Linked DNA regions of Stegostoma tigrinum. The protein of the gene in region 1 binds, or shares a complex with, the protein of each later gene. Links are inferred from orthologs where the notes say so. Each region holds a gene or a part of one and is shown in the gene's direction. Other genes may lie near its edges. The genes, in order: zbtb8os and rtraf.

Region 1 (12,881 bases):
CAGAAGGTGGTGATGAGCCACTTTCTTGAAGTGCTGTAGTCCATGTGATGGAAGAACATAACCATGCCGTTGGGGTCAGAGTTCCAGGATTTTAACCTAGTGACAATGAAAGAATGGTGATATATTCCAAGTCAGGGTGGTGCATGATGTGGAGAGGAACTTACTAATGGTGGTGTTCCCATATGCACTTTATCTTGTTCACCTAAATTGTAAAAGGTTGCAGGTTTGGAAGGTGCTGTCAAAAGGGACCATGGCAAGTTATAGCAATGAATATGGTAGCTGCTACATACACTGCCACTTTGCACAGATATTGGAAGCAGTAAGTGCCTAACGCAGTGGATGAAATGCAAATCAAGTCAGTTATTTTGTCCTGGTTGAGTTCAAGTTTAAACAAACGTTGTTGGAGCTGCACACATCCAGGCAAGTGGACAGCATTTCACCACACTCTTGATTTGTAACTTTTTGGTGATTGACTAGCATCAAAGAAACAGTAGGTGAGTTACTAGCTGCTGATTTCCCAGCTGCTGACTCACTTTTGTAAACATTGTTTCTTTAGCTGGTCTAGATAAGTTTCTGGCCAACAGGAATTCTCCAGGTATTGATGGTAGGGGATTCAGTGGTGGTTATGCCATTGATTGTGACTGGAAGGTATTTAGAAACTCTGTTGGAGATTTCAAATCAGTGTGCTTCATAATGTTGGTCCAGGATCTGACTGAGATTGACAGAGCAACCCCAAAAATGAAAAATGGAAAACCTCTAAAATACGCCTGTGCTAAAGGAAACCACATATGGTCTGAAGTTAAAACAACAGCACGTGGCAAAGCCAAGTTGCTTAGTCTTGTGCAAGGATAAATTAGATTCAAACAAATATTTTTCTTTATAGACTTAAAGGAAAACTGTTCTCAGGAGAACAGTAGATAGGGATTGCTTACAGCTCAAAGAAACAGAAGAAGGTCTGAAAAGCATTCAGTCAAATGGGGGATTGAAAGAGACTGAAGTAGTTAGCTGTAAAGCTCTCAAGATTCTTTCCAGCTACATCAGAACAGAAGGAGGACATAACACAAAAAATTATGCTGTTCAGGATATCCCAAAGCAAACCACACACTCTGAACTTTTCTTTATTGGTAAGCCTTGTTGTAATTCAATGGAGGCAAGAGTCAACTTGAGCATAACAAGAGAAACAAACAGCAACGAAATAACAAACTGGAGACAGCATGATGATGATTAAGGAATAAATATGACTCAAGATACTCAATGAAATAATTTGCTGCTGTTACAACTACGGTGAGTGGCTGAGTGAGAGTGGGGTAGAAGGAAAGAAAGAGAGGTAGAATTTGGAAAGACTTCCTAAGTGATCGCCGCAAGAACACAGAGGTATTGAGGTTTAAGTTCTATGCTGCTCCAATGTGGATGCTGGGCAGATATCTGATTATTTCAAAGCTGCATCATTTTTCTGTTAAACTACAGGCTTGTGCCACTTATCAAGGCTATCTTATATAAGGTATATACTGAGTAACTTCATTCAAAGATTAAGTGCTGTGTGGGGCTTGGATCAGATTGCTGAATTGGCTGTGAAAAGGCTATGGCTTCAGCATTTATATTTCTGAAGAGTGTTATCTGTAAAATGCAAAAGATTGGCTTTGTTTCTTAAAATTTGTATCAGATGTTGTGATAGGCAAGGTACTCAAAAAGATAGCCATACATACAGAAATTAACACACTCGCTATCCAGTGAAAGGTACCTGCTCCTTAAATTTAGGCCTTGGTAACACCTTGCCATCCCACTCCAACAAGAGCACATCTCCCTCGATTTCTTTTACAATATTTTCATAGTCTTGGCGTAAACGCTGGAAACTTTTTCTCACCAAATAACCTCTAACACAAGCCTAGAAAGGGGACAGAGTGGAGAAAATAAATGCATGTAACAGCAAGAATTATATGTCAAAGAGTTTTTTTCTAAAATAAACAAAAGCCCCAGCCACTGTACTGGTAGAAATATGTAAAGAACTTGTCACTTGCACTGAACATTGACCATTTACCAATAAGTTAAAGGAAAATGATTGCAAGACTTTTAAAATAACAGTCAGCTCTGTTGACTAATTTTTCACAACAGATGTGCTTAACAAAAATGTTGACAATTCAATAAATATTGACTTTTATGAAAAAATATTACTTTTTAAGCAAGTAGCTCCTATATCATAGAATTATAGAATCACTACAGTATGGAATCAGGCCATTCGGCCCAATAAGTCCACAATACCCCAACAGCAACCCACGCAGACCTATTCATCTACCCCTGTACTTTAGAAGTCTAATAACAGTGGCAAAAAAGCTATTCTTGAATCTGTGGGGAAAAATGTTTAACCTTTTGTATCTTTTGCCTGATGGAAGAGGTTGGAAGAGAAGTGTGGATGGAAGGTTGGCTTGTGTGATGGACTGGACTGTGTTCACAACACTGTTTCTCTCAGTCCTGGGCAGAACAGTGGCTGTACCAAGCTGTGATACATCCACTTAGAATGTTTACATGGTGTATCTGTAAAAGTTGGTAAGGGTCAAATGTATAGCACGGAAACAGATCCTATATCCTAAATTAATCTAGTCCCATTTGCCAGCATTTGGCCCAAATTCCTCTTAAACCCTTCCTATTCATATACACATCCAGGTATCATTTAAATGTTGTAATTGTACCACCCTCTACCCCTTCCTTTGGCAGTTCATTCCATACTCCTTAAGGACATACTGAATTTCCTTAGCCTCCTGAGGAAGAGGAAGGGTCATTGTGCATTCTTGACTACGGTATCAACATGGGTGGTCTAGGACAAATTGTTAGCGATCATCACTCCTAGAAACTTGACACTCTCGAGCAACTCCACCTCAGCAACATTGGTGTAGGCAGGGACATGCCCTCCTCCTTGCTTTTGAAATCGACGATCAGATCTTTAGCTTTGCTGATGTCGATGGACAGATTATCTTTACACCATGCCACCAAGCACTCTATCTCTCTCCTGTATTCTATCTTGTCATTGCTTGATATTTGGCCTACAGCAGTAGTGTGGTCAGCGAACTTATAGATGGAGTTCAGACAAAATTTGGCCCCAAGGTCATGTGTACAGGAAGTACAGTAAGGGGCTGAGTACGCAGCCTTGAGGGGACCAGCGTTGAGGATTGTCTTAAAGGAGGTGCTGTTGCCTATCCACGCTGACATCCTCTGTGGGTCAGGAAGTCAAGGATCCAGTTGCAGAGGGCAGGGCAGAGACCTAGGTCTCAGCGTTTGGAGATTAGGTTCAAATTATAGTGTTGAAGGCAGAGCTGTAGTCAATAGGTAGAAGCCTGACATAGGTATCCTTAGCAATGCTTGGTCAAATTCTGTCTTTATGTCAAGGGTTGTCAATCTCACCTCAGCTTTGTACTTCAGCTCTTTTGTCCTTGTTTGAACGATGGTTTTAATGAGATCTGCAGCTGAATAGCCCGGACAGACTCCAAACTGAAACAGTGAACAGATTTTGTTGAGTAAATGTCTTTGATAGCATTGTTGAGAACACCTACCTTCGCTCACTATTGATCAAGAGTAGACTGTAAGTGGCTGTGTTTAATTTGACTTGCTTTTTGGGCACATGCAATCTTCCACACTGTCAGGTTGATGCCAATACTGTACTGGAACAACGTGGCTAAGAGCACAGGTCTTCAGCTGGAATACTGTCAGGGCTCATAGTTTTGGCAATATCTAGTCTCTTCAGTCACTACTTTATATCATATAATGATCATCTTTAATAGCAGAGCAGATTCAAAGGGCCATACGGACAAATGTGTTTATGAACATTAAAACAGACTTAATTGTGCATTGTTCATTATTTCATTGGCAACCACAACATCTAATGTACATCCTTTACTGCTCTAGAACTTGATTGACCATTTCAGATGACAGTTAAGAATTAACCATACTGCTGTGGGTCTGGAGTCACGTGTAGGCCAGACAGATAAGGCTGGCAGATTTTCATCACTGAGATTTTTTTGTTTTAAAATGTCAACGAATGCTCATTTCAACATCTCCTAGGTTTCAATTTCAGAATTGTTAACTAAATTTATATTCCACCAACTGTCATGACAAAATTTGAATCTATAACCCTGGGAATTAGCTCAGACCTGAGTTACCAATTCAGTGATATTATCTCTACAGTCTCCAGGAAAAGACAGCATTTACTTCATAGAACAGTACTGCACACAAACACAGCCTTTGATCCATCACATCTGTGCCATCCATGACACCATTCTAAACTAATCCCAACTTCAGTTCCCATTCTACACAAAGCTCTATGCCTTTTTAAACCTGTGCCCATGGCACTGGAACCCAGTGAAAACAACTGGCCTGATGGAGTTCCCAGTTGTGCACGCAAATCCTGTGCAGACTAGCTGGTGGGAGTATTTGCTGACATTTTTAACCTCTCCTTTGTATGATCTGTGGTTCCCATCTGCTTCAAGAAGACCACTATCATCCAGACACCAAAGAAAAATCAAGCAGCATGTCTTAATGACTACCAACTGGTGGCTTTGATAGCCATCATTATGAATTGCTTCAAGGGGTGAGAAATGGCACACATAACTCCAGCCTCCCAGATTACTTTGATATACTACAGTTCACTTACTGCTGCAACAGTCCACAGCATCTCCCATCTCCCTTGACCCTACACTGGAACATCTGGATAACAAGGACACCTAAGTCATACCCCAACTCCACTTTCAACATCATATTTCTAGCCAAGTTCATCTTCAAACTCTGAGACTCTTAGGACTCTGTACCTCCCTCTGCAAAAGGATCCTCAACTCTCTGATTCACTGACTATAATCAATAAGGGCAGACGACAACACCTCCTTCACAATAATCCTCAACATTGGTGCCCTGCAAGGCTGTGTAATCAGAGCCTTACTATTCTCCTTATACACTCAAGGCTGCGCAGCCAAATTCTGCTTGAAATCTATTAACAAGTTTGCTAATGACGCTATCATAGTGAGTCAGATCTTAAACAAGAAAGAGAGAGCTTAGTGGCATGGTGTAAACACAACAATCTATCCCTCAATGTCAGCAAAATTAAGGAGCTGGTCATTGACTTCAAGATGCAAAGTGGAGTATACAACCCTGTCTGTATCAGTAGTGCTGAGGTGAGGATGGTCAAGAGCTTCAACTTCCAAGGAGTGAATATAACCATCAATCTGTCCTGGTCCATCCATGTCGATGCTACAGTCAAGAAAGCACATAAACACCCCTACTTCCTCAGAAGGCTAAAGAAATTTGCACGTCCATTGTAATTCTTACCAATTTTTATAGATGCACCAAAAGAATGCATCCTATCCAAATATATCACAGCATAGCATGGTAACTGCTCTAACCAAGACTACAAAAAAATTACAGAATTGTGAATGCAGCCCAGTTCATCAAGGAACTAGCCTGCTGTCCATTGACTCTGCCTGTACTTCCCACTGTCTCAGGAAGGTAGCCAACATAATCAAAAATCTATCCCACCCTGGTTATACTTTCTTCCACCCACTTCCGTCAAGCAGAAGATAGAAGTTTGAAAACATGTACCAAAAGATTCAAGAACGGCTTCTTTTTTCTTGCTTTTTGGCAGATTTTTACGTGGACATTTCATATATCAAAGTTGATATTTCTCTGCACCTTCTCTGTAGCATTCACTTCTGTTATCTCGATGTACTTATGTAAGATATGATTTGCCTGTATCGCATGCAAAACAATACTTTCACTGTCTCTCAATACATGTAACAATGATAAAATTAAATCAAATATTAAAAGATTAAGCAAGCAAAACTACTCCAACATTGAGTGAGTCAGATATATAGAGTTTTGTAGCATGGAAAAAGGCCCTTCAACTCATCTCGTCCAAGCCAGTCATCAAAACCTATCTACTCTAGTCCCATTTTTCAGTAGAATAGTAGAACAATAGAATAGAAGAATCCTTGCAGTGTGGAAGCAGGCCCTTTGGCCCAACAAGTCCACACCGAACCTCAGGGCATCCCACCTAGATCCATCCCCTTATAACCCACCAAATCTACACCTCCCTGAACACTACGGACAATTTAGCACGGCCAATCTACCTAACCTGCACATCTTTGGACTGTGGGAGGAAACTGGAGGAAACCCATGCAGATACGGGGAGAACGTGCAAACTCCACACAAACAGTTGCCCAAGGCTGGAATCAAACCCAGGTCCCTGGCGCTGTGAGGAGTACTTGGCCTGAGGCCTTATTTGTTACAGCACTTCAAGCAATCATTTAAATGCTTAAATTTTGTGATGACTCTTGTCTCTATCACCATTTTAAACAGTGAATTTCAATGATTCTATCCCTCTCATCTATGATTTTTCAAAAATCTTCCTAAGTGCCCCCAAATCACTTACCTCTTAATTTAAATCTATGCCCTCTGGTCATTGATCCCTCCACAAAGGGGAAATGTTTTGACCTATTTATTCTGTCTCTACGCCTCAAGATTTCATACATTTCAATCAGTTCCCACACTTCAACCTTCAATGCTCTGAGAATAACAGCCCCAGCCTGTTCAGCCCCCCTTCAGAGAAGAATGGCTCCAATCCAGGCAACTTCCTGGTGAACCTCCTCTACATCCTTTCCAGTAAGATCACATCCATTCTCTGTTCAAACATTGAACTGTGACAAGCCTAAAAGAGGGAGGGGGTTCACAAAATCCAGTCTTCGAAATGCACTGAGTTGTTACCATGGTAACCACCTGGCTTCAATGATAAAACAAGTTTTCAATATTCGACAATCGACAGCATTCAGACTTTCTGGCATTAAGAGTCCTCGTGTATCTCACTGAAGGGACAAATGACTCCACTGAAGCTGAAAGGTCACACGCTATACTCACCTGAAGAAGACACAAACCGTCGCTCTTCTCGCCCACCGCCATCTTGCTAAGGGCAGGAGGTGACCTCATCGTTGATGACGGACAGTCTGTTCAGCCAATCGGGTGCCGCTCAGTGAGTCCATCCGGGGATGCGAGGGATGGGACCCGGTCCTGTCGGCATGCGCAGAGGAGGCTCTCGGCGGGTCGATGGACGATCGGGAGTATTCCCTGACCGCGGCGCAGAAAGCGGTGAAGGAGAAATATCCGCCCGTCAGCAAGAAGTACGAATGTGAGTGCAGCTTCGTCTAGTGCCGCCTTTGTGGCGGAAGTACCGGGCCCCAGGTTCCAGCCGAGGACGTTCCCAGGCAGACTGTGGAGGGAGGAGGGATGGTGGCGAGAAGGAGCCTGGGCCTTGTGGGTGTAGAGGGTTGAGACGTAATCGGGTTGGGAGTGGAGTCTAGCTGGACTCTTCAAGTTAAGAATCAAGCCTAATCCCCGATCTAAAATTCTACACATTGACTGATTAATTCTCTTTCACAGACGCTGCCAGACCTGCTGAGTTTCTCAAACATTCTCTGTGTTTGGTTAAGAATCAAAAACAAATGTTGTCAGATGCTCGCAGCCGAGTTAAAAATGGGAAGGTGCAGTTAGGTCTGGACCTGGAAAAGTTAAGGGGTTTGTGATTTATTCTAGCTTCTCGATGCTGCCCAGCACCTGACCTGGAAAGCGCACATTTAATTGTTGAGTAGGTAAAAAGCAGAATGTGCTAATCGCCACCCAGAACATTCAGCCTCCCGTGTATCACCAGACAGTAAAGTATGATATCTTCACTAGAACACTGGGCAAAATCTCAACCAAGATAAATCGTAGTCACGGTGACCAATTAAGACAGCAGGAAGTGAGCAAATAATCCATAATTGTTTCCAGTGTTGTGGGGTAAATTAAACAAATACAGCTGCCGGTGTCATTGTTTTCTTTGATATAGTGGGTCATCTTAGTCGCGGTACATTGTAATCTCATGTATTATAAAATGACAAGGTTTATAAAAATGATTTTCAGCTTTTAATTTCTGTAACTTTGATTTTTTATTTGTTCTTAGACTTGGACCACACTGCAGATGTACAGTAAGTTCTTAAAACAACTACTTTTTATGGAAACAGTTAGCTATTAAAAACAATTTGGAATACACAGTTCTTTGATACTTGGGAAGTAACCTGTAATATCTGAATTTTATGATTCATGCCAGCTTTTATTGCAACTTTGGGATTCCACATTGACTCACTATGTGAATTTTGTTGTATCGTCTTTCTCATAACAAATATTTGAATGCTTTTGTTCCAGATCAACTGTTGGTTTTATTGAGCTTATTTTCTTAAAGTGTATATATAAGCTACCTTCTTCAAAGTGTTAAGCTTAATCATCACATCAACTTAAACTTTATTTAATTGAATTTAAAAAGAATTAAATTTTATCAATCATAGTAATGAAATTATGGGGCTAGGAATTCCAAAATTTATTGTAAGTTTAAACAAATTGTACATTCTGTATTCACTTTTTGCAGGAAAATAATTTTATAATTCTCCCAAAATATCAATGGCTGTCTGAAAACTTTGTCGGACTATGTTTACTTACAGGAAGATTATTGAAATGAGGAACACATTCAATCTAGTGTTGTGACTGAGATTTTAATCTTATGACATGTATATAAGATGTTCTGCATATTCTACTTGAATTGTGGAACACAAGATGCACCATAATTGCAATTTAACTTTGCAAACTGGAACGATCTGTAAAGGAAATGTTTTAAGAAACATCAATATTGGAGTATTTTCAGGCCTTGCAATTGTTGACACCGGTAGGAGAAATTAATATATATTACCAGTTATACACTTTTTTTCCCAAGTTAGTTCCTATTAATTGTAATTGGAAAATTTGCAGATATTGTGTATAATGTTTGAGTCGTCTTATTTGTATGCTATATCAACTGATATACAAACAGTAAATGTTAGAAATACACCTCTGTTCCACAAGCTCCTAAAAGATCAACCAGATCTCCAGTAGTGACTGTCCTTCAAAATTAATTTAAAAAGGCTTTGTTATTGTGCAGTCTTTTGTCATACCATTCTATGATCTGATTTCTGTCTGGCTGACCCTTTGGGATTTGTAGTTGAAAGTAATTGACAGCCACTAACTTCATAGTTTGTGATTAATATAACAGAGTTGGCAATCTGTGTGTTACATTTATGAAACAGTTAATTTCCAGTGCTGAAGTCCATGAAATTGCTACTTTTTACAGGTTACATTCATGGGGCGATACATTAGAAGAGGCATTTGAACAGGTTGTAATGGCTATGTTTGGATATATGACTGATATTGAAACGGTGCAGCCATTAACAACAATTGAAGTAGAGGCTGAAGGTAACTATGGTGACGTTCTGTGTACGTTTGTATGTATAATTTTTCAATAGACAAAACATTTCCGTGACACATTCCTCTTTAGGCTAGTATGCTCAAGTGTCAGGGCGGTTAGATCATTTCTTTGGTTCCAAATGGATTATTTTGCATGTTTCACATTTTTTTGAGATGAAGGTATGAGGATACAGGACATAATTTACTTGGTTTAAGTGTGAGCCTCAAGACATTTACTACCCATGAAGTTTGGAGAAGAGGATAAATGTGAAACACTGTATTAAACTTGGTACACTTGATCCTCTGTGCAATCAAATAAATTTTCGAAAAATAGAATAATTTTTGTTAGAAGAGAATTTTTTATCAAATATTAATTTAATAAGCACTATTCAATTAAGTGGAAAGGTGATCTGGAGTGTAATGGCCATTATGACTCTGTCAATCCACAAAATTAGAGGCAGTTCACACTTGCATATTGAGTCCTTGGTACCTGCTCAATTGCTTATCAGTACAGAAAGTAACAGTGGGGTACATTCATTAGAAAGGAAGTCAATGGGAATTGATGCCTGGTCTCCATTACCATTAATGGGTAGCAACAAGTTGCCTACCTGATGGCAAATTATAACAAAAATTTGTTTTAAAAATGTTAATACTAAAATAATTGGGTACTGTTCTAACAAATGGGCTAAGCTGATAGATAAGCTAATGTCATAAATTGAATCACTGCAAACTTTCTGATGCAAAAACTTAACGCAGTAAGCTGATATGATAAATAAATCTTTGTTTTATTTGTTTTGAGATCAGCAAAAGACTTTGCCATAATTTCAACAGTCTGCCATTCTCCATCTCCCTGCTCAGTTAGAATGTGGCAACCAGTTTGATGTGTACTCTAGAGATAACAAAGTGTGGAGTTGGATTAACGCTGCAGGCCAAACAGCATCTTAGGAGCACAAAAGATGATGTTTTGGGCCTAGACCCTGACGAAGAAGGGTCTAGGCCCGAAACGTCAGCTTTTGTGCTCCTAAAATGCTGCTTGGCCTGCTGTGTTCATACAACTCCACACTTTGTTAACTTGGATTCTCCAGCATCTGCAGTTCCCATTGTCTCTGATGTGTACTCTAACTGTGATTGAATTCCTGCCAGTGGGTTGGGCAAGCAGTGACGCAGTTGTTGATCCTATGTTGTGTTTACTTCAGAAATTTTAAAGTTCATTGAGGCGCTCCCTGCAGATATTGATTTTTGACCTATTCTTTAACAGTTAATTGTGCAGATAGTTGCGTGTGCTGACGTTTGGCTGAATGGGTCTTTCACTGCCCTGCCCTGTTCCAAATAGAGTCATTGGAATACTTTAGGTGTGGTTCCTTAGTTATACAGAAGAGAGGCATTCAGCTAATTGAAGGTGTGGAAGTTGAAATGTAGCCTTACTGCTTTGATAAGGAGATTCCAATTAAAATTTCTTGTCTTGAGGGTATTTTGCTAAAGATAATCAGTTACAAATATTTGCTGTAAAATCAGGACATGCTTAGTTCCTGGGACTGGATCGAGGCCTGTTTTCAGCAGGCTATACTTTCTGATCAGACATTTTTCTTCTATCTTCACGAGTAGCATCCCAGAAATGGCTGTATATCAGGAGTTGAAAAGGTGGGAGGAAGTCAAAATTACAATTACGAATGAAGTAATACTGAGTAAATTATTGGAACTATGACTTAACAAGGTCCCAAATCCTGAGAGTATTAAAAGAAGTAACCAGTGAAATATTAATACATTGGTTCTAATGTTCTACACCTCTGTAGATTCAGGGATAGTTTTGTTTAGAATGGAAAATAACTAATGTAACTCTTTTATTCAAAAAGGGTGGGAGTTGGAAAGCAGGATACTGCGTTCTTGTTAAGTTAATATCCGTCATAGGGAAAGTGTTCAAGTTATTTAAGATGTTATAATCGGGCACTTGTTCAAGGTAATCAGGTGGAGCCCTCATGGTTTTCTCAAAGAGAAATCGTATTTAATCAATCTGTATCAATCAACCTGTAACTTGTGGTGTAGGTGAAGAGCATATTGCTAACAGGAAATGAAAGTAGGAATTTGTGGATCTTTTTCAGACTGGCAGGCTGCCATGAATGGTGTGCCACAAGAATTGTTGCTAGGGCTTCAACTCCTTACAGTTATGTAAGCCGTTTGGATCAAGGAATCAAAGGTGTGCTGAAGACACAAAGGTCGAAAACTGAGCTGTTAGGAAGCCTACAAAGGGATATAGATAGTTTGAGCGGGCAAAGATTTGATAAATGAAGTGCAATGTGGGAAAGTGTGAAGTTATCCAGTTTGGCAGAAAGAATTTTTAAAAAAGCACTATTTGAATGATAAGAGTTTGCAGATCTGGGATGCAGAGAAACCTGGCTGTCCTAGTGTATGAATCATAGAAGGATGGAATGCAGATACAGCAAATATTCAGGAAAGCTAATACTATGGTTTGTTGTGAGGGGCACTGAATATAAAAGAGGTTATGCTTCAGTTAGACATCTCTCTGGTGAGACAGCATCTGGAGTACTGTATCTGGTACTAGTCACTGTACTCATGGACGTATGTTAATGGATTGGAAACTGTTCAAAGAAAGTTTACTAATACCTGGAATGAATGAGGCTTATGAGGAAAGGCTAGACAGGATAGGTCTACATCCTCTGGAATTTAGAAAAGTCAGAAGTGACTTAATTAAAACATAAAAGATCCAGAGGGGACCAACCAGGTGGCTGTTGAAGGGATATTTCTTCTTATGGAAGAAACTATAACTAGATCATGTTTAAAAATAAAGCAGTGATAATTTAAAACGTTTCTTTCTCGGAGGGTGGTGAGTTTTCAAATTCCCTTCCTCAAAAGACATTGGATGTGGAATCCTTAAAATATTTTAAGGCAGAGGTAGGTTCTTGGCTACAGGGGTTTGAAAGATTATCAGAGGTATAAAAGAATGTATAGTTGATGTTAAAACCTGATCAACTATGATTTTATTGAATGATGAAGCAGTCTCAAAGGACTAAATTGTCTACTCTTGTCCCTTGTTCACATGCATAGTTCAACTGGAACTATTGGGGGATTGATTCCTGTTCCTACTGGGAACAACTATCCATAAAGTTTGCTGGGTGTTTCCAACAAGATTGAGTCACCCTCAGTGCTTCCCTTTAGCAGCTGGCACTTCACACCAGCCACAGAATGGAATTTCCAACCTTCCTACCTCAAGAAATCAATGCTATGATTGCAGAAAATATTTGTTACTACCTGGTGACTGACCATTTCGAGGTTCTTTTTTCAGTATTTGTTGATTGTAAAATACAGGAATCTGTAGAAAATGAACAAGGCCTTAATGCCCTTGAAGATCTCCTAATTTTCCTCTTTCAGAGTCTACAGTTTGTGCTTTGTACAATTACAACAGATTTTCAGTTGTTTATGAGATAGAACATAGAACATAGAACAGTACAGCACAGAACAGGCCCTTCAGCCCACAATGTTGTGCCGACCATTGATCCTCATGGATGCACCCTCAAATTTCTGTGACCATATGCATGTCCAGCAGTCTCTTAAATGACCCCAATGACCTTGCTTCCACAACTGCT
Region 2 (12,073 bases), on another chromosome or scaffold:
TTGACAAGGATCTACATGGTAATCTAATTAGTAAATTAGCAAAAACAGGTATATCCAAAAGGTCCTAAAACAGTTCTCTACAATTTTTGCAGAGAAAAAACACATTGGGACCTGTCATTCCTCAGAGCACTCCTGCATTGCAAAACAAAGGCATTTACTACTCATTCAAAAATCTATTTACATTCATTATGAGGCAACAATGGGGTCTGACAACTGAAGAGACCCTTGTTATATTTTGGCGAAAGATCTTAGATGGTGGTCTTTCCCCACGGTGCCTTCACCTGTGACCAAACTTTAGTGCTTCCCTCACCATGTATCCCTGGACCTTAGAATGTGACAGTCTGCAATACTCAGTGGAAGTCAACTCTTTACACTGGAAGACATACAAGTTGAATTATCTCATAAACACACAGATTCTATTGAAAGCTGAGTAAATTGCTTGGAAGGAAATCTCAATGTGAGCTTGACAAGAGGAGGATCTAGGTTTAACGGAGGCTGACCGCTTTGGATGACTTTATGGCTACAGGATAATAATTTATTTCAGCATTTTAATGTTAGATGTTCTTCAGGTATTTATTTAGTAAGTAGAATAATAAAGCAGCATTTTTTAATAAATTCAGAGATAATGGGAACTGCAGATGCTGGAGAATCCAAGATAATTAAGTGTGAAGCTGGATGAACACAGCAGGCCAAGCAGCATCTCAGGAACACAAAAGCTGACGTTTCGGGCGTAGACCCTTCATCAGAGAGGGGGATGGGATGAGGGCTCTGGAATAAATAGGGGGAGAGTGGGAGACGGACCGAAGATGGAGAGAAAAGAAGATAGGTGGAGAGGAGAGTATAGGTGGGGAGGTAGGGAGGGGATAGGTCAGTCCAGGGAAGACGGACAGGTCAAGGAGGTGGGATGAGGTTAGTAGGTAGGAAATGGAGGTGCGGCTTGGGGTGGGAGGAAGGGATGGGTGAGTGGAAGAACAGGTTAGGGAGGCAGAGACAGGCTGGGCTGGTTTTGGGATGCAGTGGGGGGAGGGGAAGAGCTGGGCTGGTTGTGTGGTGCAGTGGGGGGAGGGGACGAACTGGGCTGTTTTGGGATGCGGTGGGGGAAGGGGAGATTTTGAAGCTGGTGAAGTCCACATTGGGCTGCAGGGTTCCCAAGCGGAATATGAGTTGCTGCTCCTGCAACCTTCGGGTGGCATCATTGTGGCACTGCAGGAGGCTCATGATGGACATGTCATCTAAAGAATGGGAGGGGGAGTTGAAATGGTTCGCGACTGGGAGGTGCAGTTGTTTATTGCGAACCGAGCGGAGGTGTTCTGCAAAGCAGTCCCCAAGCCTCTGCTTGGTTTCACCAATGTAGAGGAAGCCATACCGGGTACAATGGATACAGTATACCACATTAGCAGATGTGCAGGTGAACCTCTGCTTAGTATGGAAAGTCATCTTGGGGCCTGGGATAGGGGTGAGGGAGGAGGTGTGGGGGCAAGTGTAGCACTTCCTGCAGTTGCAGGGGAAGGTGCCGGGTGTGGTGGGGTTGGAGGGCAGTGTGGAGTGAACAAGGGAGTCTTTTTTTATTAAATTATTTTCTTTCCTCAATCTGTTATATCTGTAATCATTTTTTTCCGAAATGATTCTAAGCTTGTGCCCATTTTAAATCAGAAAAATGGATACAAACACATTAACTCACTAAGCATAGCAATTTTTTGAGCGAGCCATTAATTTGTTCTCTTAAATTCACAGGTCAAAATGAACAATAAAACTGAGAGTGGCTTAAAGCCAAAATGCTTTCAGATCACTTAAATCTTTCCTTTCTCTCATTAAAAGAAAGTGTGGAAAACTTGGGAGTGAACTGGAACTGTGTTAAGGTCAAAAGGGTAACTAGGGAGAAAAACAGGGCCATTTACAGTTCAGCAAGGCCGCTTATGTGTGGAACCACAGGCGATGGGGGGGGGGCAAAATAAGTATTTTGCATCAATATTAAGGATATGGAAGCTAGAGGACTTGGGAAATAAATTGAAAAATGTCCATATTACAGAGGAGGAGGTGCTGGCTGTCTTAAAATGCATAAAGATGGATAAATCCCCTGGACCTGATCAGGTGTACTCTACAATTTTGTGGGAAGCTAGGTAAATGATTGCTGGGTCCCTTGCTGAGATATTTGTTCATTGATAGCCTTAGGCGAGGGACCAGAAGACTGGAGGCTGGCCAATATGATGCCACTATTTAAGATACGTGGTAAGGAAAAGCCAGGGAATTATAGACTGGTGATCCTGACAAGAGTGGCGGGCAAGTTGTTGTAAGAAATCCTGAGCGACAGGATTTACACGTATTTGGAAAGGCAAGGACTGAGTAGAGTCAGTCAGCATGGCTTTGTGAGTGGAAAATCATGTTTCACTAATTTAATTAAGTAATTTGAAGAAATAATGAAGAGGATTGATGAAGGCAGGGCCGTGGACCTGATCTATACGGACTTCAGTGAGGCGTTCGACAAGGTTCTGCATGGTAGACTGGTTAGCAAGGTTAGATCGCATAGAATATAGAAGTGCCAATTTTGATATGGAACTGGCCTGAAGATAGGAGACAGAGCGTGGTGGAATAGGGTTACTTTTCAGAATCGAGGCCTGTAACCTGCAGTGTCCCACACAGATCGGTGCTACAGAGGTTTATAAAATCATGAGTGGCATGAATAGGGTGAATACAGAAGTCCTTTCCCCATGGTAGCAAAGTCCAAAACTAGAGGGCATAGATTTAAGGTGAGTGAGGAAAGATATAAAAGGGATCTAAGGGCCAACTTTATCATGCAGTGGTGATGCGTATATGAAATGAGCTGCCAGAGGAAATGGTGGTGGCTAGTACAATTACAACATTTAAAAGGCAACTGGATGGGTATATGAATAGGAAGGGTTTAGAGGGATATGGGCCAAATACTGGCAAATGGGACTAGATCAATTTAGGCTATCTGGTCGGCTTGGATGAGTTGAACCAAACGGTCTATTTCCATGCTGTAGAGCTCTGAGACTTTATGACTCTATGGTCCTGCACTGGTCTCACAGGTGAGAGAAGCACAGGAGGAAGTGCTGGGAACATTAGCATGTCAATTTTTTTTAATCCATTGGAAATGGAGATGTCTCAGCACACAAGGTGATTGTAATTTCTTCTTTCTTTTCCTTGTCAACTGGCAAATGGTGAATTCAGTAATCAAATAGAGCCAATAGAAACAACGAAGGGTGTTGTATATAGTGGTAGTACTGGGGGCAATTGATGAAGTCCTGCAGGCGAGGCAATTTCCACTTTGTTACATTGTAGCAAAAGGAGAAAAAGGTTTTAAAGGAACGAAGAACAAAGAAAATTACAGCACAGGAACAGGCCCTTCGGCCCTCCAAGCCTGCACCAATCCAGATCCTCTATCTAAATCTGTCGCCTGTTTTCCAAGGATCAATATCCCTTTGCTCCCTGCCCATTCATGTATCTGTCTAGATACATCTTAAATGATGCTATCGTGCCTGCCTGTACCACCTCCGCTGGCAACAAGTTCTAGGCATCCACCACCCTCTGCGTACTTTCCATGTATATCTCCCTTAAACGTTTCCCCCCTCACCTTGAAATCGTGACCCGTAGTAATTGAGTCGCCCACACTGGGAAAAAGCTTCTTGCTATCCACCCTGTCTATACCTCTCATGATTTTGTAGCCCTCAACCAGGGCCCCCCTCAACCTCCATCTTTCTAAAGTAAATAATCCTAACCTACTCAACCCCTCTTCATAGCTAGCACCCTCCATTACAGGCAACATCCTGGTGAACCTCCTCTGCACCCTCTCCAAAGCTTCGACATCCTTTTGGTAATGTGGCGACCAGAACTGTACACAGTATTCCAAATTCAGTGAAGCAGTTGAAAACTCAGCCATTTGGTATAGTTCAATTAGGTGTCAGCAATGCGTAAGCTGGGGAAAAGGGGAAGCGAGTGAGCGAACATTCGATTGCAACATTAAGCATTAAGAAAGAGAATCACATCTTCTTTTCAACCGTCCAATTTACAACAAGAAATAACTCATCAGGCAGGAAAACTGAGCCTGGAACAAGGATTCTCTTTTCTCTCCATAAAGAAGTAAGACCGCCTCAGTTTAATAGTTAATAGTTCCTGCTGTGAACTTGAAAAAATATGGTGAAAAATCCAAAACCATGGCCTAAAATCAATGGTGAGTAAAAGTTCATTTTTAAACAGTAGAGAAAAAAGTAAGATACTTGACACAGAAGAGGCATTGGGGAGTGGTGTACAGTTGTTTATCAAAGTATCATTTTAAACGAATTGTAAATCAATATGGTGATATTGCGTTACTGAAATTAAACTATCAATCTATCCTAAATTTGTAAGAAAAAGTTGAGGTGAGGGCTAGCCTTTACAGAGACCCTAAATGTGGTAATAAAAAATAGTAAAGTATGGCAGATGCTGGATTTTTATAATACAAATGAAGTTTTGGAGAAACTCAGCAGGTTTAGCAGCATTTGTGGGGAGAGGAACACAGTTAAAATTTTGATTCCAAAATGACTACTACACCTTATTTTCCACCTGGGAACCTTGCAGCCCTCTGGGCTCAATATAGAGCTTCTAAGGTTTTGGAGTAGATTTGTAGCTTGTTTGTGGATGTTGTGGTTGGTTGGTTCACTGAGTTGGTTCGTTGTTCAGCAGACGTTTCATTACCCTGCTGGGTAACATCATCAATGCAGCCTCCATTGAAGTGCTGTTGTGTTCACGCCTATCTTTTTAAATTCTCGTGTCTGTTGAGCTGGATTACCTCACTTCCAGTTTCCCCACACAATGGAGTGTATATGGGGTCTCACTCAATGTGTTTATTGATGGCTTTCTTAGAGGAGAAACAGGCTTCTAGGAATTCCTTGTCTCTGCTTTGCTTGTCCCAGGATCCTGGTGTTGTCCCAATCAAACTGGTGGTTTTCCTTATCCACATGGATGGAGATGGATGAGTATTAGTTGTGTCTTTTTGTTGCCAGTTGATGCTCGTGTACCCTTGAGGTTAATTTCCTTCCTGTTTGTCCAATGTAATGTTTGCCTCAGTCTCTGCGGGGAATCTTGTTTACAGCACTGGTCCTGTCCATTGTGAGTAGTGGGTCTTTGGTCCGAGTGAGCAGTTGGGGTAGGGTTGATGTGGGTTTGTGTGCTACTCTGATCCCCAGTGGTCGTAGGAGTCTTGTGGTCAGTTCAGAGATGTTCCTGATGTAAGGTAGCGTGATGAGTGTTTCAGGATGCGTAGTATCTTCTTGGTGTTGTTCATGTAATAGGCATCATCTGGCCCAGTTTTTCGGGTATCCATTTGGCGTAGTCTGTGCTGCTGCAGTGTGTTGTTCCCGTTTAAATAATGTTCTCACGCAACTTTGCTTATGTGTATTAGGGTGGTTGCTGTTGAAATTTTGTACTTGGTCTCTGTGTGTGGCTTTCCTGTGTAGCTTTGTTAGGAATTTCCCATTGGTCCTGCATTCCACCACGATGTCCAGGAATGGGAGCTGTTTGTTCTTCTCCTCTTCTCTGGTGAATCTGATCCTGATGAGGCTGTTGTTTATTATTTTGTATGTCTCCTCTAGTTTGGTCTGTTTAATAATAACGAAGGTGTTGTCCACATAACGTATCCATAGTTTTAGCTGAATTAGTGGAAGGGCCATACTTACAAGTCTCTGCATCACCATTTCAGCTATTAGTCCGGGGATAGTTGATCCCATGGGTGTCCCATTGATCTGTTCATATATTTAGCCATTAAAATGTGGTGGGTGGTAAGGCATAGGTCCAGTAGCTTCAGCATGTTGTCTGTGGAGATGCTGTCATTTGGGTTTTGTTCTTGTTTTAGTAGTGTTGCCAGTGTTTCTTTTGTTAGTGGTATGTCTATCAATGTTAGAAGGGTAATAACATCAAATGATACCATGGTCTTGTCATCATCTATTCTTATGTCCTTGATGGAATTGAAGAACTCCTGGGTTGAGTGAATTGAGTGGGGTGACTTGCTGATGAGGTGTTTTAGTCTCCTTTGTAGTTCCTAGGCTAATTTATGCGATGGCGTGCCTGGCAGGGAGACTGTGGGTTTAAGAGGTACTTCCAGTTTGTGTACCTTCAGGAAGCCGTAGAATGGTTGGACGTTTGCTGCAGTCTCTGCAGGGAATCTTGTATTTGGCACTGGTCCTGTCCATAGTGGGTAGTGGGTCCCTGAACTCTCTCATGTCCTAGCCCCCTACGCCACACACTAGGCCTTGTTACCAGTCTGCCATAACACACTGTGCATCGTTAGCCACTAACAGTCTCCATCAAAAGATATTTATGTTCCTAGTCAGACGGTCATCAACTCCTTTGTCTGTCCAACTGCTCTTTTCTCTCTTTGGGCTCTATGTCCACGTATCACTCACTCCTTACCCACTCTATCTTCTGCATATACACTGACATTTTCCTAGCTGCCATCAGTTTTGGGAAGGGTCACTGGACCTGAAATGCTAACTGATTTCTCTTCACAGATGCTGCCAGATCTGCTGAACTTTTCCAGCAACTTCTGTTTTTGTTTCTGACCTACAGCATCTCTTTTGCCTTTTAATCACAAACCTGATTCTATTTTGAGCTTGGGTGGGTCTGGTCATTGGAGTCACTTCAATTGTTCCTTGTGATTGCGTTATCGATATTCTCACCCGAACGAAAAACAGAAATTGCTGGAGAAACTCAGGAGGTCTGGATGGCTGAATTTGTGCAGAACTTTTAAAGCTTCACTGGGGCAGAAACGTCAACTCTGTCTTTCTCTCTCCAGAAACACTGGCAGACCTGCGGAGTTTCTCCAGCAACTTCTGTTCTTGTTTCAGAGATTGTAAGAACTGCAGATGCTGGAGTCAGAGATAACACAGTATGGACCCAAAGAAGGGTCCTGGCCTGAAATGTCAGCTTTCCTGCTCGTCTGATGCTGCCTGGCCTGCTGTGTTCATTCAGCTCCACACTGTGTTAGACAGGTAGTAGGAACTGCAAATGCTGGAGAATCTGAGATAACAAGATGTGGAGCTGGATGAACACAGCAGGCCAAGCAGCATCAGAGGATCAGGAAAACTAACATTTAGGGCCGAGACCCTTCTTCACAAAATCACCTTCTGAAAATCCCACACTGTGTTATCTCCGTTCTTGTTTCAGATTTCCAGCATCAGCAGTTCTTTGTTTCATCACATCCTCACCTGTTCTTGAATTAAGAAGTTTTTTTTCATCCCCCGCTGGGGGTAGGGAGGTGTGAGGCCTGATTCGTGCCGTATACAGTACAAGCTCCTCGAGTGAGGTGGTCGCTTCAAAGATAAAGTTTCGTTGAAGCATCCACTCCACGGTTGCTCTGGGAGACCCGCGGGTGTGACGTCACACGGCGGCGAAGAGCGCGAGCGCTTTAGCCAGAGGGGTGTGGTGACGCAATCGCGTCGCGGCAGGAGGGTAGGCCTTAGTCGGTGACGCCGTTGTCGTTGCGGGCCGGTTTGCGGGAGTTGGTACTGTGTAACGTGGTGGAGGCGAAGATGTTCCGCAGGAAACTGTCGGCTCTTGAGTATCACAACAGCAGCGTGTTTGACTGTAAAGGTACAGGGAGAAGCGGGCAACCGTTCACTGGGGCCTGTGCGGGGCAATCCGCGCCCGTCGGCGGGCAGCACCCACCCCTCAACACCTTAGTTAGGGCCTGCGGCTGGACACAGAGCCGGGCCCAGTAATTCCACGCTGCCTTTCAACATCATTTCAGAATTAAAAACAACTCACTGTTTGAACACGGTGCCGGAACAGTGGCCAAGATGCTGCCCAAAAATCGCTGAAGTGTAATTATTGTTACTCTTAATAGTGTGGTTAAATGGGGCAGCCATTTTGTGCATAGCAAGCTCCCACAGGCTACGGACAAATGAAAAATCTGATTTTGGTCGGTGAAGAGGAGAATCGAACAGGAGCTCTCTCCGTCTTTTCAGTTGCATCTCCGTGGATGCTGTTTGATCCGCTGTGATCTCCAGCATTTGTTGGTTTCACACTTCGTTACTCACGTATAGTAAACAATTTCAGAATACTTGAAAGGAATATGAATGATTGATTAATTGTTTCTGCAATAAAATTCAACTTCACAACAAAATTCTGCAAACACTTAAGACACCAAGATTTTCTCTTGTGTTATTTGAAGGAGGAGTGTGGAGCAGAGAATTACCTTGCTGTCTTTTGTATGAGGCCATGTGAACTTTTGTCTGTGCTTGAACCAGTGCAGAAACCCTCAGTTTAAATTGTTCTTTTGAACGATGACACATTTTGGAATTATGTATTTGTTTCCTTACCATATAACTAACAATGTTGAGGAAAATACTTAATTACAAGGCCTCTTTTTTAAAAAACATCAGATTCTTTCATTCAGTTTTATTTTTCTATTTTGGGCATAGAATCAAATTGTAATTCTCCAAAAACAGCTTGACTATGCTCAGCATTTCTATTTTGTTTCAATCTTTTTGAAACTGGTAAATTAAACTAAGCAAATTAGCAGTTTACTTTTTCACTGAGGCATGGAACAATGCATTAATCATAAAACTGAGCAGAAGTTGACTGATAAATATTGTTTTCTGAAGGAAGCTTGAACACAGGTTTACAATATTTAAAGTCAGACATATTGTAAAATCTGAATATAAGCCTTAAATCTAAATATACATTTTATAGAGAGTTACGGAAGTTTTGCCTGCTTTGCTGATGCTTCAACACTGGACTTAAATGTGCCAGTCCTTGATATTAAAATTAGTACATTGATGTGCAGATCTAAGTCTGGACATCAATCTCCTTTTGAGGTTGAGATGTTAGTGATAAGGTTTAATTTAGTATATTCATTTGGTTTGTAGAATGCAGTTTGTCATTTTTTAAAACAAATGTGTCTGAAATCGTTATTTTTTTATATTCTAGATGAGACGGAATTTAGAAATTTAATTGTGTGGCTTGAAGACCAGAAGATACGACATTATAAAATTGAAGAGAGAGGCAACCTGAGAAATGTACACAGCAATGAATGGCCAAAACACTTTGAAAAGGTGAGTTTCATTTTGAATAATGTGCTTTGTATGTGTTTAATCATATTTGCACATAATATATTCACATATCGTTTCACTAGTGACTTGTACTTCCAGTCCCTGAATATGAACTTGTTACAAACATTGTTGTGGAAACAACTGTGTACAGTGATGGAAATAGCTTGGGTGGGGAAAGAGAAGGATACAGATCGGTATGCATGGACAGTCAGAACAATATGGTTGATATTGAAATTGCTTTTTCCTTTTCTGTCATTTCATTCTTACCTGTTGACTGTATATCAAGGCCTGTTGTCAGTTCTGCAGCTAGTTGCCAGTGTTCAACATTTGACTTGTGTTTTGATAAGAATATCAACTAAATGATGTACTTGTGTACCTCTTTGTACAATAAGTATTATTTAATATGTTAAGATATATTGATGCATATTTCAGATTACAGTAGAAAGGGGAGCTATTCTGCTTTCTTACTATCTGCTGTATTCCCACTTCTTTTGCCCTTTTTCCTATGAGGTTTAAATACCTTTCTCTGTATTAAACGTTAAACCCTCTGCCTCAAATATCACTTTGCCAAGATTCCCTATTGTAAGACTGTATTGGGGGGAAAAAAAATCTTATTTCTTCTATAATGTAATGGGTAGAGTAATTGGGTGAATAACTCTGAATCTTGAAGGGGACAGATGTCATTTATATCTCCCAATATTCTTAGCAACAAAGTGTAACTCTACCTAATTTCTATCATGCAATAAATTAGCTTGATTAAAAGCTGTAGCTTCTTGTTAACTCTCACTGGCAGTTGTTCCTCTACCAGTGTAAATTAAGTGAGCCCTTGGACCCAGACAAATAAAAGGAATGATGACAGCGTTCTTCTACCCATAAATGCCACATCTCCCTTTTTTTAAACAAGCCGATATCTATATCTCTTTTTACTTGAAGCCAAGAAAAGGAATTTTTATACATTTCAACTTTTGCAGAATCTTCAAAATCAATATCTGATTCCCTTAACCCAAATTTTCTGGCTATTCAAAATTTTCTGAGACTTTGTTCTATTCTCTCGTGCATTGGTGCAAAATTAGGGCCTTCCCTCAAGCTAGAAAATCTTCTGTTCAAAACCCATTCCGTGAACCTGCAATGCACAATCGAGACAGACTCTTCAGTGCACTGCTGAGAGGCCGATGCATTTTTTTGGCTGAGGTGTAAATCCAAGACATTGTCTGCCGTCTTAGGTTGATATCAAAGATTCTGTGGTCCTATTGAAAGGAAGGTGGACACTTTTAGTGCCCTGGTAAATTTTCATTGCTCATCCAAAACCACAAAAACTAATTATCTTATTTAGCTGATTCCTGCCTGAGAGTCCTTGATCTAACAGTTGCCTGCCACATATTCTTATACTACAGTAATCATTAACTTCAGAAGTACTTAATTGGCATAATGCAATTTAGATATTCTGATCTCATGCAAGTTTTTTTCTGTCCTGACATAATTATAGTTGAATGCCAATTACTTTTGAGTCCCAAACAAAAACAGAAGTTGGTGGAAAAGCCCTGCTGGTCTGGCAGCATCTGTGAAGGGAAATCAGTGCTATGTCTGTGGTCAGCAAGGTTTTGAAAAGAATTCTGCGGGTTAGGACTTATGACTGTTTGGAAAAGCATAGCGTGATAAAAGGGAGTCAGCATAGCTTTGTGAGGGGCAGGTCATGCCTCACAAATCTTATTGAGTTCTTTGAGTAGGTCATGAGACAGGTTGACGAGGGTCGAGCAGTGGATGTGGTGCACGTGGACTTCAGCAAGGCATTTGATAAGGCTCCCCACGGCAGGCTCATTCATAAAGGCTTTCATTAACAGAGGGATCGAGTTTTTAAGAGCCGTGAGGTTATGCTGCAGCTGTACAAAACCCTGATGAGACCACACTTGGAATATTGTGTCCAGTTCTGGTCACCCTATTATAGGAAAGATGTGGAGGCTTTGGAGAGGGTGCAAAGGAGGTTTACCAGGATGCTGCCTGGACTGGAGGGCTTGTGTTACGAGGAGAGGTTGAAAGAGCTCGGACTTTTCTCTCTGGAGAGAAGGAGGAAGAGAGGTGACCTGATCGAGGTGTACAAGGTAATAAGAGGCATGGATAGAGTCGATAGCCAGAGACTTTTCCCCAGAGCAGGATTGACTGCCACGAGGGGTCATAGTTTTAAAGTGTTAGGAGGAAGGTATAGAGGAGACGGCAGAGGGAGTTTCTTCACCCAGAGAGTTGTGAGCGCATGGAATAGTTTGCCAGTGGTAGTCGTGGAAGCAGAGTCATTAGTGACATTTAAGCGACTGCTGGACATGCACATGGACAGCAGTGAATTGAGGGGAATGTAGGTTATTTTATTTTAGTTTTGGATTAGGATTAATCCACGGCCCAACATGGTGGGCCGAAGGGCCTGTACTGTGCTGTACTTTTCTATGTTCTGTGTTAATGTTTCAGGTCCGGTGACCCTTCCTCAGAACTTTTGAGTCCCCATGAGTCTATGAGAAATACATGAAAATAATTAAATTTTCTGTCCTGTCCTGTAGAATTGCCCCCATTTCTATCACTGATTTGTTATTTGTTTTCATGAGTTTAAAAATAAATCATAGTCAGTGTCTTATTGCAAAGAGGCTCAGCGAAAGTGCTGCAACTTTAGAATTCTGTTTGACTGTGAAATGAGATGTTGGCCTGCTGCAGCACAAATACAGCCTTATTCCAACTATGTCACCACTCACTATCTCGGCTCTTCCGTCCCTTTATTTCCTGTATATTTGACTATTCCAGTGTTCTTCAGCTTCCCATCTTCTAGCCTTTAGAAATTTGAACTCGTCCAAAACTCTGCTTATACCTTAATTTGCACCATGTCCGGTTGACCTATTCTCACTGTACATGCTGACCTACATTGCCTTCAAATCTGGCAATATTTTGATTTGAACATTTTCATCTTTGGTTACTCTCTCCGTGACCTCACCCTTCGCCATCTCTGGGACTATTACCGTGTTAATTTTTTTCAATTCTGTCAAGTTGCA

What was found.
Region 2: zbtb8os (region 1) and rtraf share a complex: the UniProt entries of both Homo sapiens proteins name them as parts of the tRNA-splicing ligase complex. The link is inferred for Stegostoma tigrinum from reciprocal best matches to the Homo sapiens genes ZBTB8OS and RTRAF.

The regions. Positions count from the first base shown.
Region 1 is NC_081377.1:45,045,122-45,058,002, reverse strand, and holds the start of zbtb8os (protein archease), read left to right. Parts: upstream 1-7,029; 5' UTR 7,030-7,077; coding exon 7,078-7,159; intron 7,160-7,969; coding exon 7,970-7,994; intron 7,995-9,166; coding exon 9,167-9,288; intron 9,289-12,881. Other genes in the region: iqcc (IQ domain-containing protein C), read right to left, coding at 1,742-1,885, 3,397-3,483, 6,892-6,960. UniProt on the Homo sapiens protein: Component of the tRNA-splicing ligase complex required to facilitate the enzymatic turnover of catalytic subunit RTCB. Together with DDX1, acts by facilitating the guanylylation of RTCB, a key intermediate step in tRNA ligation.
Region 2 is NC_081363.1:45,470,775-45,482,847, forward strand, and holds the start of rtraf (RNA transcription, translation and transport factor protein), read left to right. Parts: upstream 1-7,416; 5' UTR 7,417-7,523; coding exon 7,524-7,584; intron 7,585-8,922; coding exon 8,923-9,047; intron 9,048-12,073. UniProt on the Homo sapiens protein: RNA-binding protein involved in modulation of mRNA transcription by Polymerase II. Component of the tRNA-splicing ligase complex and is required for tRNA ligation.